Arabidopsis thaliana: one gene and its partner. The protein of the gene in region 2 interacts with the protein of the main gene of each other region in a biochemical or structural test. Each region holds a gene or a part of one and is shown on either strand. Other genes may lie near its edges.

Evidence for each region. The genes of interacting proteins can lie anywhere in the genome.
Region 1: the proteins of EMF1 (region 2) and BBX32 form a complex in vitro, tested with the Arabidopsis thaliana proteins (one study listed by BioGRID).

What each region holds. Positions count from the first base shown.
Region 1 is NC_003074.8:7,410,565-7,416,776, reverse strand, and holds BBX32 (B-box 32), read left to right. Parts: upstream 1-3,049; 5' UTR 3,050-3,386; coding exon 3,387-4,064; 3' UTR 4,065-4,332; downstream 4,333-6,212. Other genes in the region: MNS2 (alpha-mannosidase 2), read left to right, coding at 69-240, 687-776, 1,010-1,134, 1,233-1,298, 1,493-1,601, 1,694-1,795, 1,931-2,011, 2,091-2,261 and 1 more; AT3G21140 (Pyridoxamine 5'-phosphate oxidase family protein), read left to right, coding at 4,691-4,951, 5,170-5,367, 5,476-5,578, 5,935-6,014, 6,095-6,172.
Region 2 is NC_003076.8:3,692,384-3,702,513, forward strand, and holds EMF1 (embryonic flower 1 (EMF1)), read left to right. Parts: upstream 1-3,408; 5' UTR 3,409-3,782; exon of another isoform or gene 3,783-4,029; intron 4,030-4,675; 5' UTR 4,676-4,756; coding exon 4,757-4,851; intron 4,852-4,963; coding exon 4,964-5,139; intron 5,140-5,219; coding exon 5,220-5,339; intron 5,340-5,418; coding exon 5,419-5,472; intron 5,473-5,561; coding exon 5,562-6,823; intron 6,824-6,963; coding exon 6,964-8,547; 3' UTR 8,548-8,581; exon of another isoform or gene 8,582-8,816; 3' UTR 8,817-9,166; downstream 9,167-10,130. UniProt on the Arabidopsis thaliana protein: Transcription repressor that regulates phase transition during shoot, flower and seeds development. Controls leaves development, shoot architecture and flowering by delaying both the vegetative to reproductive transition and flower initiation.

The sequences.
Region 1 (6,212 bases), on a different chromosome or scaffold from region 2:
GTTAACAAAATATGTGGTATGGAAGTGTGGCATCTGTGCTTATATATTTTCTCTTTGTTGGCTTTCAGAGTGGTAGGAGGGCTTCTCAGTGCGTATGATCTTTCTGGGGATAAAATTTTCCTTGAAAAGGCTATGGATATTGCAGACAGATTATTGCCTGCATGGGACACTCAATCGGGTATACCATATAATATTATCAACTTGAAGCATGGAAATGCTCACAATCCTACATGGGCGGGGGTAAGTCCTATCTGTCATATTCCTTGTCGATCTTTTCAAAGCTTTAGGCATTGGATATACATTTTCTCTTCTTTTCTCGCCCAGATTTTCATATGCGTGCAAAACTTTATCGAGATAGTCGCCACTAGGGTCCTGAACATGTTTCTAAAGGAGCTCCTAAGAGGCCACTGAAAAATTGAGATTTAAGTTCCAGTCGTTTTCTTAGATGTTTCAGGGCTCGCCAGGAACGAACTGTTCTGTTTTTCAAGTTATGTGACAATTAGTATTCTGTTTGTGTCTACACTGTTTTAGAGTTTAGTTGTAAAGATCATGATGAAAGTAAAGATTCTTTATCAACTAGGTATTGTTTCACTAGCAAGCTCATGTTTAATGTGGAATGGGTACCATCTGATCTATTTACATATGTCTTTCGGTTTAGTTGATTGTTTACTTCTTTCTTGTTTTAGGGAGACAGTATTCTTGCAGATTCTGGTACTGAGCAGCTTGAATTTATTGCCCTTTCCCAGAGGACAGGGGACCCAAAATATCAGCAAAAGGTGCAATTACTCTCCGTAACTTGTAGCACTGCTGACTTATTACATATCCATCTGCTTATCAGCGAATTTGTTATATCTATAAACCAGTGAATGGAATACATATTTCTTAGCTTATTCTGTTGTATTATATACTGATTAGGTATTAAAGTTGGCAAAATGTCTGGATGCATGTTGTCATAATTCGGTGTAAACAAATTGCACCTCAATGGTTGACCTGTTAACTCGTGTCTCAGGTAGAAAAGGTTATTTCAGTGCTAAATAAGAACTTCCCTGCTGATGGTTTACTTCCGATATATATAAATCCCGATACAGCTAATCCATCGCAGTCTACAATAACATTTGGTGCCATGGGAGACAGGTGTTTTTCCAACTTGATTGCATTTTATATTACTGCTAGTCTGATCCCTTCTGGTTCTGCTTTGGTTTGATTTGTGACGGCTAATATTTTGTGTACAGCTTTTACGAATATTTGCTCAAAGTTTGGGTGTTTGGGAACAAAACTTCAGCAGTGAAACACTATAGGTAAGTTTAACTCTAGTCTACTGAGTGTATATATGTCTGATTGATTCAAGTCCGCTAAGTTCAACCAGCTGCCATCACATTTATCTTTCTGCTTGATATCTATGTTCTTCTTTTCTTTTCTGGTCTTTTAGTTTCAACATCTTTAGCCGAACAATAATAATTTGTACTGTTATTACTTGACATCTTGGCATCAGAGATATGTGGGAGAAGTCAATGAATGGTCTGCTAAGCTTGGTTAAGAAATCAACACCTTTGTCGTTTACATATATCTGTGAGAAGAGTGGAAATTCTTTGATCGATAAGGTAAACCCATCTGTTCATTGTTTCCATTGTATTACGTGAAAATTCTTCATCGCCTGGCATTTCCAATCTCATTATTTCTCATATATATTAAGATGGATGAATTGGCATGCTTTGCTCCTGGAATGTTGGCTTTAGGAGCATCTGGGTATAGTGATCCTGCTGAAGGAAAGAAGTTTCTCACACTCGCTGAAGAGGTAAACTTATGACTTGAATGATCTTTGATCATAGCGTCGTAAGTGCTTCAGATCTTTCGAATTTTTCGCTCTCTGCTTTTCTGATTTAGGCTGCTGAGATATAGCCTTTATTGCTATTTTCCACATATTTTGCAGCTTGCGTGGACATGTTATAACTTTTACCAATCAACTCCAACAAAACTGGCTGGGGAGAATTATTTCTTCAACTCTGGGAGTGTATGTCATTTGCCTGTCTTTTTCAAACACATTGTTTATTTTATGCGTTATTTATTGTTTAGTATACATGATGATTCAGGACATGAGTGTTGGAACGTCGTGGAACATCTTGAGACCAGAAACTGTCGAATCACTGTTTTACCTCTGGCGGTTAACTGGAAACAAGACATATCAAGAGTGGGGATGGAATATATTTGAAGCATTTGAGAAGAACTCGCGCATAGAGTCTGGATATGTTGGTTTGAAGGATGTAAGTTTTCCGTAGGCGCTTAATTAGATCCTGCATTGTTAAAACCTTGGTGAATTGAATTATATCATTCCACCATCTATATTAGTAATTGAGTGTAACTGATGGTAGATTCTTATTTCTTTCAATCATTTCCAGGTTAATACAGGCGTTAAGGACAACAAGATGCAAAGTTTCTTCCTTGCAGAGACACTCAAGTATCTCTATCTACTCTTCTCGCCGACAACAGTCATTCCTTTAGACGAGTGGGTATTCAACACCGAAGCTCATCCACTTAAGATTAAGTCTCGAAACGATCAGGTAAATCTCAAACAATCCAACAAAGTACTGCTACGAAAACCGGCATTTAGAATACGCCAGAGGCATTATGGTCGGATAACAAAGAAGTAAAACTCCCTGGAGAGGTCACAGTGTGATTCGTAGGAGGGGCTCTATGGATATATCTTAACAGAGCAATTGGATTTAGCTTGGCTATTCAAAGACCCTTTTATTTAAGAAACCATTTTTGGAAAGATTTCAAGATATAGACTATTGTTGTACTAGTTGGGATCAGAACCCAAACAGGTTCACCACAGTTTACACCTTGTGTTTTGTATCCTTACTCCTTAGATTATAAATTAAGAGTATTATCTTCTGTTTTGTATTCGACAAAAGATCAATGTATAAAAGTTTATATAAAAGACTGCAACAATGCAGAAGAAATGTAATGGAAGCAACCAAGAAAAGAAGAAGAAGCAATTTGCAATGAGACCAAGTCTCTGAAAAGACATTAGTGTTGACTAAATCTCCACGTCACACCAAAAGGAAGACGAATGACTTGGCGGCTAGTGTAATAGTTTTAAAAATGACCACATAATCTCACCAGCCTCAAAACCTCACGACACGTCATTCTCTCCAATTCTACAAACACCATTCATTTCATTTCCCTAAAAAATTATGGCTCATGTAAGTTTCTTTGATGTGTGAACTGTGGAAGAGACTACTCTCATCAACCATGAACCATAAAAACTCCACCGCTCTTTCTCTCCCTCAATCATTTACATCTCTTCCTTAAATCTCTCTTCCCACCATCATCATTCCAAACCAATTCTCTCTCACTTCTTTCTGGTGATCAGAGAGATCGACTCAATGGTGAGCTTTTGCGAGCTTTGTGGTGCCGAAGCTGATCTCCATTGTGCCGCGGACTCTGCCTTCCTCTGCCGTTCTTGTGACGCTAAGTTCCATGCCTCAAATTTTCTCTTCGCTCGTCATTTCCGGCGTGTCATCTGCCCAAATTGCAAATCTCTTACTCAAAATTTCGTTTCTGGTCCTCTTCTTCCTTGGCCTCCACGAACAACATGTTGTTCAGAATCGTCGTCTTCTTCTTGCTGCTCGTCTCTTGACTGTGTCTCAAGCTCCGAGCTATCGTCAACGACGCGTGACGTAAACAGAGCGCGAGGGAGGGAAAACAGAGTGAATGCCAAGGCCGTTGCGGTTACGGTGGCGGATGGCATTTTTGTAAATTGGTGTGGTAAGTTAGGACTAAACAGGGATTTAACAAACGCTGTCGTTTCATATGCGTCTTTGGCTTTGGCTGTGGAGACGAGGCCAAGAGCGACGAAGAGAGTGTTCTTAGCGGCGGCGTTTTGGTTCGGCGTTAAGAACACGACGACGTGGCAGAATTTAAAGAAAGTAGAAGATGTGACTGGAGTTTCAGCTGGGATGATTCGAGCGGTTGAAAGCAAATTGGCGCGTGCAATGACGCAGCAGCTTAGACGGTGGCGCGTGGATTCGGAGGAAGGATGGGCTGAAAACGACAACGTTTGAGAAATATTATTGACATGGGTCCCGCATTATGCAAATTAGGACATTTAGTGTTTAGTGCCTTAATTATAGTTTGTGTCATTGATCTGTTTGATCTTTCTTTTCAACGTAAACTAAAAATGGTCTGAACCAATTGAGATGATAGATATTTCTTTAGAGGAGATTTAATTTTTTTAATCAACAGTAAGAAGATTTTAGAAACGGAATAATGGTAATCCAATAGTCATTATCAGGTTCTTTTGAGATGAAATTGAAATCTTTTCTTTCCCAATTTTTTTAAACAAAGATAATTTCTTAGAATATTATGTTATTATCAATAAAAATTGTAAATTGAAAAGAAACTGATTTTCTTATTTCAAGGAAAATTCGTTATTATCAACATCAAAACAAAACAAAAGAGAATAGAAAATACATCAAAAGTAATTCCTAAGGACAAAAGTAATCGTAATCCAACTATAAAAAAAAAGCCAAAAGAAAAAGAAAAACCCTTATATGTATGTGTGTGTTATACAAACCCTACTCTGGAAAAGTCCTAATTCCTAAAGCTACTTTCAACAAAGACGCCTGAAGCATCTGCCTATAGTGAAAGATCAGAAGACTCTTCAACCAAAATCTTATTCTCATCCACCATGGAAGCTCTCTTCACTTCAACACACACACCCAATTTACAGACTAAGCCTCTCCTCAAATCTCCGCTGCCCACTTCTTCCCAGTCTTCGTGTTGGTTTTGTAATTCGCTACCCAAAACGCAATTCCCGAAGCTGAGACTCAGTAATGGATCAAGTCACGGGCTTCGTATACAAGCTCTCTTACGTAACGAGACGCCAAGTGAAGGTGAAGATAATAATGGGTTTGGTTTTTTTCCTGGGGATATCTTCTCTTTATCACAGGTACTTTTTCTCTTGTCTTGTGATGAATAAATTCAACTAAAGATTATAACTTTTGTTTTGGGTATGCAAAAATTCAGCAAAAGATTACAATTTTGGACACAAAACTTTGGTTTTGATGCAGAGTTTGTGTAGAATCGAATCTTAGATTAGCGGAAAGATGATACCACGTAATGGTTTGCTTTGACATAGAGATTAATAGCTTGTAATGTTGTGTGAAGGAAAAGCTCGGGAGTAATAGCAATGGTGAAACTTCTCATAGTGTAATCGATGTGGAGGCATCTCTTGCACATCCTCAAGGTGGTGGAGGAAATCGAGCTGGGCTTTTTAGAACTCCAATATCTGGTGGTGTTCAAAATGCTACATCAGCTCATGCTTTACCTCGGCCTGCTTTAGCTGTACGGAACTTGTTGGAACAGGTAAAAGGGTTTGTCCTTTAGATGGTTTGTATTCTTCCTTTTTTACTTCAATGAGAAAAGATTATTTAAGTTCTTTATCTGTCTTGTCTTGTGTTTTTATGATTCAAGGCTAGGTTTGCTCATCTGTGCACAGTGATGTCCAAAATGCACCACCGCAGGGAAGGGTACCCATTTGGCTCATTGGTAGATTTTGCACCTGATCGGATGGGGCGTAAGTCACTGAGTCTTTCTTTCTTTGTTGACTGCTCCTAGTTCTACAGTGTCTTCTTTTGTTGCACGCTCAATTTTTCTCAGAGTATCAGTTTAATTATTTGCTAGTCGACAATTGGTTCTTAGTCATAACTCCTCTAACTGTAAAATTGATTTGATTTTTGTGGGAACGCATAGTAGGAAGTGAAGTCAAAGTTGTTTTTTTCCCTCTTTTCCTTAAATTTCATTAGAGGTGTACATGTAGGAGTGTTTTTGTATCTGTGTATTGAAGGCAATACTGAATTATAATGGTACAGTTAATGTTTTGAGATACAATAGATGCTCATTTCTTGAATGGCTTCTACTTTTTCTTATCAGATCCAATATTTTTGTTTTCACCGCTGGCCATCCACACACGAAATCTCTTGAATGAACCTAGATGCAGCCTCGTTGTTCAGGTAACATTGGCTATTGTGTTTAAATTATACGAGCAAAAGGTTTACCCTTTATGTTATGTAACCGTTGATTTGGCTGGCAGATACCCGGATGGAGTGGCTTATCGAATGCAAGAGTGACATTATTTGGTGATGTGTACCCATTGTCAGAGGATGAACAGGTGGGTGTCTAGTTACATTTTTCCTTTTCTATTTATGGTT
Region 2 (10,130 bases):
AATTAACTGGTAAATCTTCAACACAAAAAGCCAAGCACGAACGAGTACATATCGTTTGCTTTGCGTTTGGCGTTTATGTTTCTTTTAAAACAGAATGCAATAATTAAAGTCACAGTCCTCATTTCCGGAAAAGAAATTTAGAGGTTGGCGATGAGTTTAGTGAGATCATATGGATCGAAAACTATGAATTTAATTGATATACAAACAGATTAATGTGTGGACCATCTCGAGAACCAAACATATCGTTGATAAGTGTTTCGTCTAGCAGCTAACACATTTCAACATAGTGAACCGTACGCAACCTGGGTGTCTAAACGTATCACACCCATTATATTTTCTATCTAGCTCGAATGCTTATAAGGAATTTCAATGGCCCACAGAGAATGCGTGTATAATTAAATACGTGTTTTTCCAATATCTGAATAGTCTTTATATGGCCCACGAAGCAAATCAACAGGCAATATTACCACTCTTACTTGATTAATGAGCATTTTTATTTTCAAGTCTGCCTCTAAAGTGATCTCTTCGTATCTGGTGTTCACCCTTAAGCTGAAGAAACTCTTATCATCTAACACTTCTTTATAATTACGAAACTTCAGATATTCGATATACTGTTGTTTTAGCTTTAGAATCAATCGTTGATGTATATGTGAAAACATATATAGGTCATTAGTATTGATTCAGAACTAATTAATTTTCCAAAATAAACATCAAGTGAGCTTTCTTCACAGAATGTATCTAACATTTTTTTTTTTTGGGTAAAATCTAATATTTTGTTGTCGATGAATAAAAAGACTTCCAAGGTTCCAACATTAGGTTCATCGGGTTATTAAATAATCGCTGATAATAGATACATCTAATAGAGAACTTAGGTTAATTTAACAAATAAAAAATGGTTAACCAAGTGAGATAAGTTATCATCTAATGGACGTATCAACAATTAAAGCCAAACGATTGTGGTTCCCAACTGAAGTTATGAGTTGAAAATTAAGTATTTTTATAACGGAGATCAAACGAACTCAAAGGAATTTGTAACATAATATAATGAATGATACACATCGATGCATGAAAGTGAGTATATAAGCATATAAATACATGAATAAATAGATATGATGATGTTGGGGTGTGTGTAAGAAGTAAAAATCCAAGAGTTAAAAAGGGGAGAGAGAGAGAAGGTTGATGTGGTTGTCGAGATGCTAACAGAGAGGCACATGCAAAGCTTAAATGATGGTATCGCTGGTGGCCAAAGCATCTCCTTAAAGCTGTCCTTTTTCATCTTAAGTCCTCTTTTTTTATTTCCCCTTTGCTACCGCTTCACTCTTTCTCTCTCTATATTTTGCATACATATATTTATATACTAATGTGTTAATCAACTTGTGTAATATACCTTACTTATGTGCAGTTGTGCACGTATGCAGACCTAAAAGTGTATCAATTAATTTATATATATATATATAAATATAATCTCCTTTTTTTGAGTTACAAATACGTTTGAAGATAATATTCAAAACTATGTGAATCTTGATTTATACGGTCGAGAAAAAATGTTAGGTTGGTTGAAGATAGGTTCCGTTCCGCCCTTAATATATCTTATACAAAAAGATAAGATCATTACGAATATGTGCTCAATTCCTTTTCCATAAAGTTGGGTATTAAATTATGAATATTATCTAGAAATTTTAGAGGGGTGTATATAGTGTGCTATTTTCGTGATAAAAGTAAATAATGCATCCAAAATTCAAAGTGGATCATTAACACGTTTTGGTATATACATCACAATTTGTCAAACCCGTAATTAATTGCGCCAAACAAGAAAAAATGATCTTATGGGGCAAAAGTAAATCACATATATGGCAGTGGGAAGAAAAAAGGAGATTATATTTTTCCCCTAAAATAGACTAAAGTAACAAACCTAAATTTCTCTGGAAAGAATTATATCATAAAACCTCGAAGCCGACAAAAACTAAGAAAAAAAAAAACAATTTACCGAAGAAAGAATATTATTAAAAAATACAGGAACAAGGAGAGAGAAATGTGTTATAAAGGATAAAGCCCACTAAAGGTCATTCACTTATCTAACTGTATACTATTATTTTCTTCGAGGCAATATATAAAATTTACTTGATCTAGTAATTTATTTTCACTAAGGTTTAGTATTCTTATACATTTGTATAATAGTTAACACAACTTAACGATACTTACTTCTAATATGTATCAACACGTACGTACAGAGCCACGTAAAGAAAAAAAACACACACACAATCGCTGTCGAACAGTTAAATCCCGAATCTAGATTTGTATTAGTTATCTAATCGTATTATTGTTAATTCCGAAAGTAGAGTCAACATCCAATTAATTGCTTTATCAAATATCGAATATGCAAAAGGTCTAAAGAAAAACAAAGTTTTTTTTTGTTGTTAAACTTTGCTTACATCATAGGTATCCCATTAGGTTGGTGTACCATGTGATGATTCTACCACCGAAAAAACAGAAGCCAATATTAAAAAATACATCTATATAGTACATGTACAATAACAATAATTAAGGATTATTGTATTATATTTTAAGAAAAAAACTAAATAGGGTTATGTGAACCAGACTTTTTTTAACACTTTTACTGTGGTAAACTTTGGAAAGGGAAAAAAGAGTGTTAGGGTTAATATATGTATATATAATTCATTTATTGGGGAAATGGGCTCATCTAGGGTAACATCACCTACCCATACAATTTTATCATGCTTTTAGGGCTTTTATTTATCTCACTGGTCCCTCAATTCCTCCACTCTCTCTTCCCTTCGCGTGAACAACACGCTCCAATGTCTCCCCTTCGTATGTGCCGACGCTCCTTACCTCTCCGCGCCACGGACGAAACGTGCCCACACGCGAAAAGTAAACGCCGTGACATCCACGCGCCTAGGGTTTTCTTTTCATCAGGACACAAGTGAAAAATGGGTTGTGATAAGAACCGCACATTGCGGCCACGTGGTTAATTCTCATTGGTTTCTTGTGCCCCATCCTATCACACACAAAAACGTCTAATACGATTTAAATAAAAATCGGGTTCTTTCCTAATATAAAGAAAAACACTGAGATCTTTTACTTAATCTTGTTGTTTAATTTCTGGATACTGTTCCCCTAAGCCAGCTATTTTCTACTAATGCTCAGATTTCTTTCTTAACTAAACATATGCATAAAATTTTCTCCTTTTATTCACTTTTGACAGATACAGAGATACAAAGAACAGATACAGAGATGTACAAATACAGATACGTGTACACAATAGAAGTAAAAAGATACGTAACTTTGTTTCGTGTAATTGGAAATAGGCAGACCAGATGGTGACATGGCATTGTCATGTTCCATAGATGAGTTGTTCTTTTTTTAATATAAAATTATTACAATAAATTAATAAAAAGATTATTTTATTGAAATTAAAACCCTTATATCGACGCAAAGCCAAACAAAAAAAAAACCCTCATTTCAAGGATAAGAGAGCTCCACTTTCTCTCTCCTCTCCTTTCTCCAACAGTCTCTCTCTACAAGCCATAGGAAAAAAAAAAAAGTCCCCCTTTCTCTCTCCCTCCCCTTTCGTCTTAGGGTTTCTCGAAAATTCGCAGTCAAATTCTACTCATCTCCCGACGAATCCATCCTTCAAGCTCATCTAATCTTCTTCTCCGTAGCTTTCTCAATCTACCGATATAGTTTTTATCCCTTGCCGCTTAAGATCGAGCTCGAATCTCGCAACCCCTTTTAATCCCTAATTTCTGGTCGGATTAACCCAGGTGCGTTGTTTCCGACATGAATCTCAGATGTGTTTCGATTTAAGGTTTGAGCTAAGGTTTGATCTTGTTGGGTTGAGATTTGGTCTGACTTGTAGCTGACTTCGTGTCTTTTAAGCTTCACTGTTCATTTATACGTCTATCTTCCTCGGAAACTCTTGATGTTCTTACTTTTTTTTTTTTTTTTTTTTTTTGGGGTTTCGTCTTCACGGACTATTCACGTGCGGATAGATCTGACCCGTATTAATTGGTGGGTCTTGGTTAATCTTTGTTAATCACATACGGTTAATTTAAGTGGTTTATTATCTTTTAATTTTGTTCTAATTTTGATTTTAAACCCTAAATTACGCTGATTAATAATTTGACCTTTCTTGGGTTTTGTAATTCCGAAATTATATTGAATCTGGTCCGATCTTCTTTTTTCTTTTGCTGGTCATGTAGATAAGGTTACAGCTTTGGGGTTTCTCGTCTGTCTGAAAAACCCTAATTTTAGGTCGTCTAAGTTTAGGTTTACTTACATGTTAATTGTTAAATGTATAAAATTCACTTGCACGATTAATTTTTTGTTATATTAGCGTAATTGAATTGAGATGCTAGTATAGAATTTCATTCTTGATTTTATGTAGACCTTAGGGTTTAATTTTTTTTTATTTGCCGTGTAATTGTGAAGTTTGATGTTGGTTATGAATGTTATTTTATGTGGGATATTCATGTGAAATGCTTTAACACTATGTTATAGATTAGTTATATTTATTGCTTGAATAAATTTAGAGTTATATTTGGTGTCGTATATATGGAAAGTTAAGATTTATGTCTTGATATACAACAATAATGTGATCATTAAGCACAATTATACGATGTGTTATATAACTTGTTTTGATGTGTTGCTTTTGTAGCTCTAGTTGCGGAGAGAGTATAATGGTGTATGAAAGTTAATCATCACTGAGGCATAGTATCTATCTCCTTCAAGCAAATCAATGGGATCTTCCATCAAGATCAACTCAATATCCATAGATCTCGCAGGTGCTGCCAACGAGATTGATATGGTGAAATGTGATCATTTTTCCATGCGGTGAGTATAGTTTGTTGACCTTATATCATCAACCTCTCTTGCTAGAGTATGTTTATATAGTAGCAAGCTACAAGATGAAATGACATGAATAACCAGTTTTTCTTCTCTGCAGTGGATTCGTAGCTGAAACTCGTGAGAGAGACCTTAGAAAATGTTGGCCGTTTTCAGAAGAGAGTGTTAGTTTAGTAGACCAACAAAGCTATACTCTTCCTACTTTATCTGTTCCAAAGTTTAGATGGTGGCATTGTATGAGCTGCATCAAAGATATAGATGCTCATGGGCCAAAAGGTATATCACATTTCCAATATTGTTTTTTATGTGTCTAAAGACGTGTCTACTTGAACTTATGCATTTTGAGTTGCTTGCAGATTGTGGACTGCATTCAAACTCAAAAGCTATTGGAAACTCTTCTGTTATCGAAAGTAAAAGCAAGTTCAATTCGCTAACTATCATTGATCACGAGAAAGAAAAGAAAACTGATATTGCAGGTATGCATCTGCTGAGTCTTGGTTCAGTTTCATAATCCATAGCAAAATCTTAATCATTTTGTATTATCATGTTTTTCAGATAATGCTATTGAGGAGAAAGTGGGTGTAAACTGTGAGAATGATGATCAGACAGGTAAAGTTTTCTCTGGTCAAGCAAATTATGTTTTCTCTGATGATCTCATGATGCGGAATACTAATTTCTTAAAGCTTCAACAACTGCAGCTACTACGTTTCTCAAGAAAGCACGTGGTCGACCTATGGGTGCTTCTAATGTTAGGAGCAAGAGCAGAAAGCTTGTGAGTCCGGAGCAGGTAGGAAACAACAGATCTAAAGAAAAACTAAACAAACCATCGATGGATATTAGCAGCTGGAAAGAGAAACAAAATGTGGATCAGGCTGTGACAACGTTCGGCTCATCTGAAATTGCTGGTGTGGTTGAGGATACACCACCTAAGGCAACCAAGAATCATAAAGGCATTCGCGGTCTGATGGAATGCGATAACGGGTCATCAGAAAGTATAAATCTTGCTATGAGTGGGTTGCAGCGTAGGAAATCTCGCAAGGTTCGTCTACTCAGTGAGTTGCTTGGTAATACAAAAACCAGTGGTGGTAGTAACATCAGAAAAGAAGAGTCTGCTTTGAAGAAGGAATCAGTTAGAGGTCGAAAAAGAAAGTTGTTACCTGAAAACAATTATGTCAGCCGGATATTGAGTACAATGGGTGCAACCTCTGAAAATGCTTCCAAAAGTTGTGACTCTGATCAAGGTAATAGTGAATCAACTGATAGTGGGTTTGACAGAACTCCATTTAAGGGTAAGCAGAGAAACAGAAGATTTCAGGTTGTTGACGAGTTTGTACCATCACTTCCTTGTGAAACTTCACAAGAAGGTATCAAGGAGCATGATGCAGATCCTAGTAAGAGATCAACTCCTGCGCACTCTTTATTCACTGGAAACGATTCTGTTCCTTGTCCTCCGGGTACTCAGAGAACAGAGAGGAAGCTCAGTTTACCCAAGAAGAAGACAAAGAAGCCTGTAATCGATAATGGGAAGAGCACTGTGATCAGTTTTAGTAACGGCATTGATGGAAGTCAAGTTAACTCGCATACTGGTCCTTCCATGAACACAGTATCCCAAACTCGAGACTTATTGAATGGGAAAAGGGTGGGCGGTTTATTTGACAACCGTTTGGCTTCAGATGGATATTTCAGAAAATATCTCTCTCAGGTTAATGATAAGCCGATAACATCTTTGCATTTGCAAGACAATGATTATGTGAGGTCAAGAGACGCGGAACCAAACTGTCTTCGAGATTTTAGTTCCTCTTCTAAATCCAGCTCAGGTGGATGGTTGAGAACTGGAGTAGATATTGTTGACTTCAGAAACAACAACCACAATACAAACAGATCGTCTTTCTCGAACTTGAAGCTAAGATACCCCCCTTCTTCTACTGAAGTTGCGGATTTATCTCGGGTGCTGCAAAAGGTACAAGCTTTGCATCTATTTTTCTTCAATCGCCATGCTTTCTCATTCTGTTTTCCAACTTGCACCTATTCTTGTATATTCCAAACTGGTGTGCTTCAGTGATTGGATCAGGATGATAACGGGATTGATTTACTTGGCAGGATGCTTCTGGTGCAGATAGAAAGGGGAAGACTGTTATGGTCCAAGAACATCATGGAGCACCAAGAAGCCAAAGTCACGATAGAAAGGAGACTACGACTGAAGAGCAAAACAACGATGATATTCCAATGGAGATAGTGGAGCTCATGGCCAAAAACCAGTACGAGAGGTGTCTTCCCGACAAAGAAGAAGATGTTAGCAACAAACAGCCATCACAAGAAACAGCACACAAATCCAAGAATGCTCTACTGATTGATCTCAATGAAACCTACGATAACGGGATCTCACTTGAGGACAACAACACATCAAGACCACCAAAACCGTGTAGTAGCAACGCAAGGAGGGAAGAACATTTTCCTATGGGAAGACAGCAGAACTCTCATGACTTCTTCCCAATAAGTCAGCCTTATGTGCCTTCTCCGTTTGGGATCTTTCCTCCTACCCAAGAAAACCGAGCCAGCTCCATCCGGTTTTCTGGTCACAACTGTCAGTGGCTTGGGAATTTGCCAACTGTGGGTAATCAGAACCCTTCTCCATCCTCATTTCGGGTATTACGTGCTTGTGATACTTGCCAGAGTGTTCCTAATCAATACAGAGAAGCTTCTCATCCAATTTGGCCATCTTCCATGATACCACCACAGAGTCAATACAAGCCAGTTTCTTTAAATATTAATCAGTCAACAAATCCGGGTACGCTTTCACAGGCATCTAACAATGAAAATACATGGAACCTCAACTTTGTTGCTGCCAACGGGAAGCAAAAATGTGGGCCTAATCCAGAATTTTCATTTGGCTGCAAACATGCTGCTGGGGTTAGTAGTAGTAGTAGTAGGCCAATAGATAACTTTTCTAGTGAGAGCTCTATACCGGCATTGCATCTACTCAGCCTTCTGGATCCTCGCCTGAGGTCAACGACTCCCGCTGACCAACACGGAAACACTAAATTTACTAAAAGACATTTTCCGCCAGCCAACCAGTCCAAAGAGTTTATAGAGCTTCAAACAGGGGACTCTAGTAAGTCAGCCTACTCAACTAAGCAGATACCTTTTGATCTATACAGCAAGAGATTCACACAAGAGCCTTCCCGGAAGAGTTTCCCCATCACTCCACCTATTGGGACGTCTTCACTTTCATTTCAAAATGCTTCATGGAGTCCTCATCATCAAGAGAAGAAAACCAAGAGAAAAGACACCTTTGCTCCTGTTTACAATACTCATGAAAAGCCGGTGTTTGCAAGCAGCAACGACCAAGCGAAGTTCCAGCTGCTGGGAGCATCGAATTCCATGATGCTTCCTTTGAAATTTCACATGACGGATAAAGAAAAGAAACAAAAGAGAAAAGCAGAGAGCTGCAATAACAATGCCTCTGCGGGACCTGTGAAGAACAGTTCTGGACCCATTGTGTGCAGCGTCAATAGAAACCCTGCTGATTTCACCATTCCTGAACCTGGGAATGTTTACATGTTAACGGGTGAACATCTGAAAGTCCGTAAACGCACAACCTTCAAGAAAAAGCCAGCCGTGTGTAAGCAGGACGCAATGAAGCAGACCAAGAAGCCGGTTTGTCCACCTACACAAAATGCCTAAAGATATACAATGTGTGTGGGAGGGATTTGTGCAGGTAAGTTGCTAGGACTATCTGTTTCTAATTCTTTAGTTTTGGGATTTACTTGGTTCGTCTGAAATCAATGACTTAAAGAAATCTGCACCTTACTAAGTGTTTCTTTTTGCATTTACATTAGTTAGAACTGCAAAAGGTTAGGTTTTATGTTAAAGCCTAGGGTTTAGAACAGAGTTTTATCAGTCTCTTCATCAAATCTTTGTCTCCAGCTCTAACAAAACAATTTTCTCTTTAGTTCATTGTGAAACAGATACTGAGGCAGAGGGATTAACAGATGGAGAGGGATACAAAGAGAGGGAGAGAGACAGAGACAGAGAAAGAGAAAGAGAGATCATTCCTATTGAAAACAAGAATAAGTCAGACAGGAAACATTAAAATGCAAATCTTCCTCATGTTCTTGGTCTCTGGTCTTAAAAACATATCTTTGCTTATGGTTTGTTCAAGCATACTTGGGAACCATTCAGCTTGTGTATATATTTAAATGACTGTAGTACCCCTGATAGGCCTTGTTGTTTTTTGTTTGTTTTTTTGGGAAATACTAGATACCTTTCAGCTGGCGTTATATATATATTTAGTCTTTATTTATACTGTTGTGTTTAAATGTCTCTGTCAGGCCAGCCAACTTCTCCAAACCTAAGAGAAACCCTCTTAAGTCTTAACACATTTTTAATCCAAAAAAGACTCTAACTGAAGATTCCGTAAATTAAATCTCTAGTCTGAAGAAAAATCTGCAAAACAACTTTTACATCAATTAAAAAGCTTAGAGTGCTACAGAAACGCTTAAGGTTACTTTTCAACTTCTTAATTTACTTAAGAATACATTGAAATTAAGTTGGGTATGTTGTTGATTCCATGCAACTCCGAGTTTTCATTTGGCTGACTAGGTGAGGGTGGAGTAGAGGATCATTTTGAATTAAGATTATAGGAGAACAAGGAATGATCGATGGGAATGTGAGCAGATACAAGGCTCAAAGATTGAAAAGTTGGCGGATCGGGGAGAACAAAAAAAGGGTAATATTTGGGTTAAGTAAGAGTGAGAAGATGGTTCATAACCGAGGGTTAGGAGAACGGTCATCAAATGTGACCTAACGGGAAAAGAAAATGTGGCAGATTCTTAATATAAGCAAACATAACCACTGTGGTTTGTAGGATAAACACATTTAGTGGATCGGAAAACTAGAGAGTAATAAAATCCTAGGACGATTATATGAGATGGGGAGACGAGAGAAAATATATTTCATTGCCAGTTGAGGAAGAGGAAAGGAATAAGTGGACATTCATAGGAAGTGCTTCAACCCAATAGGAGTTAGGTAGTTCAGCTTGAAAGAGGAGAGAGTAAACAATGTTGTATAGGAGTTTGAAGAAAAAATTTCGGTACGTTCATATTATATATAATCCATTTTGTTGGGACGTGTAAAGATATGAAAAACGAAGCTCGCTTGTATTCACCATTGTCACATTGGAAAATATTGATTGTTCCCTAACACTTGTTTTGAATGAAGTGATTGTGTACCACACAAAAAAAGAAGTGATCGAAGTATAAGTTATT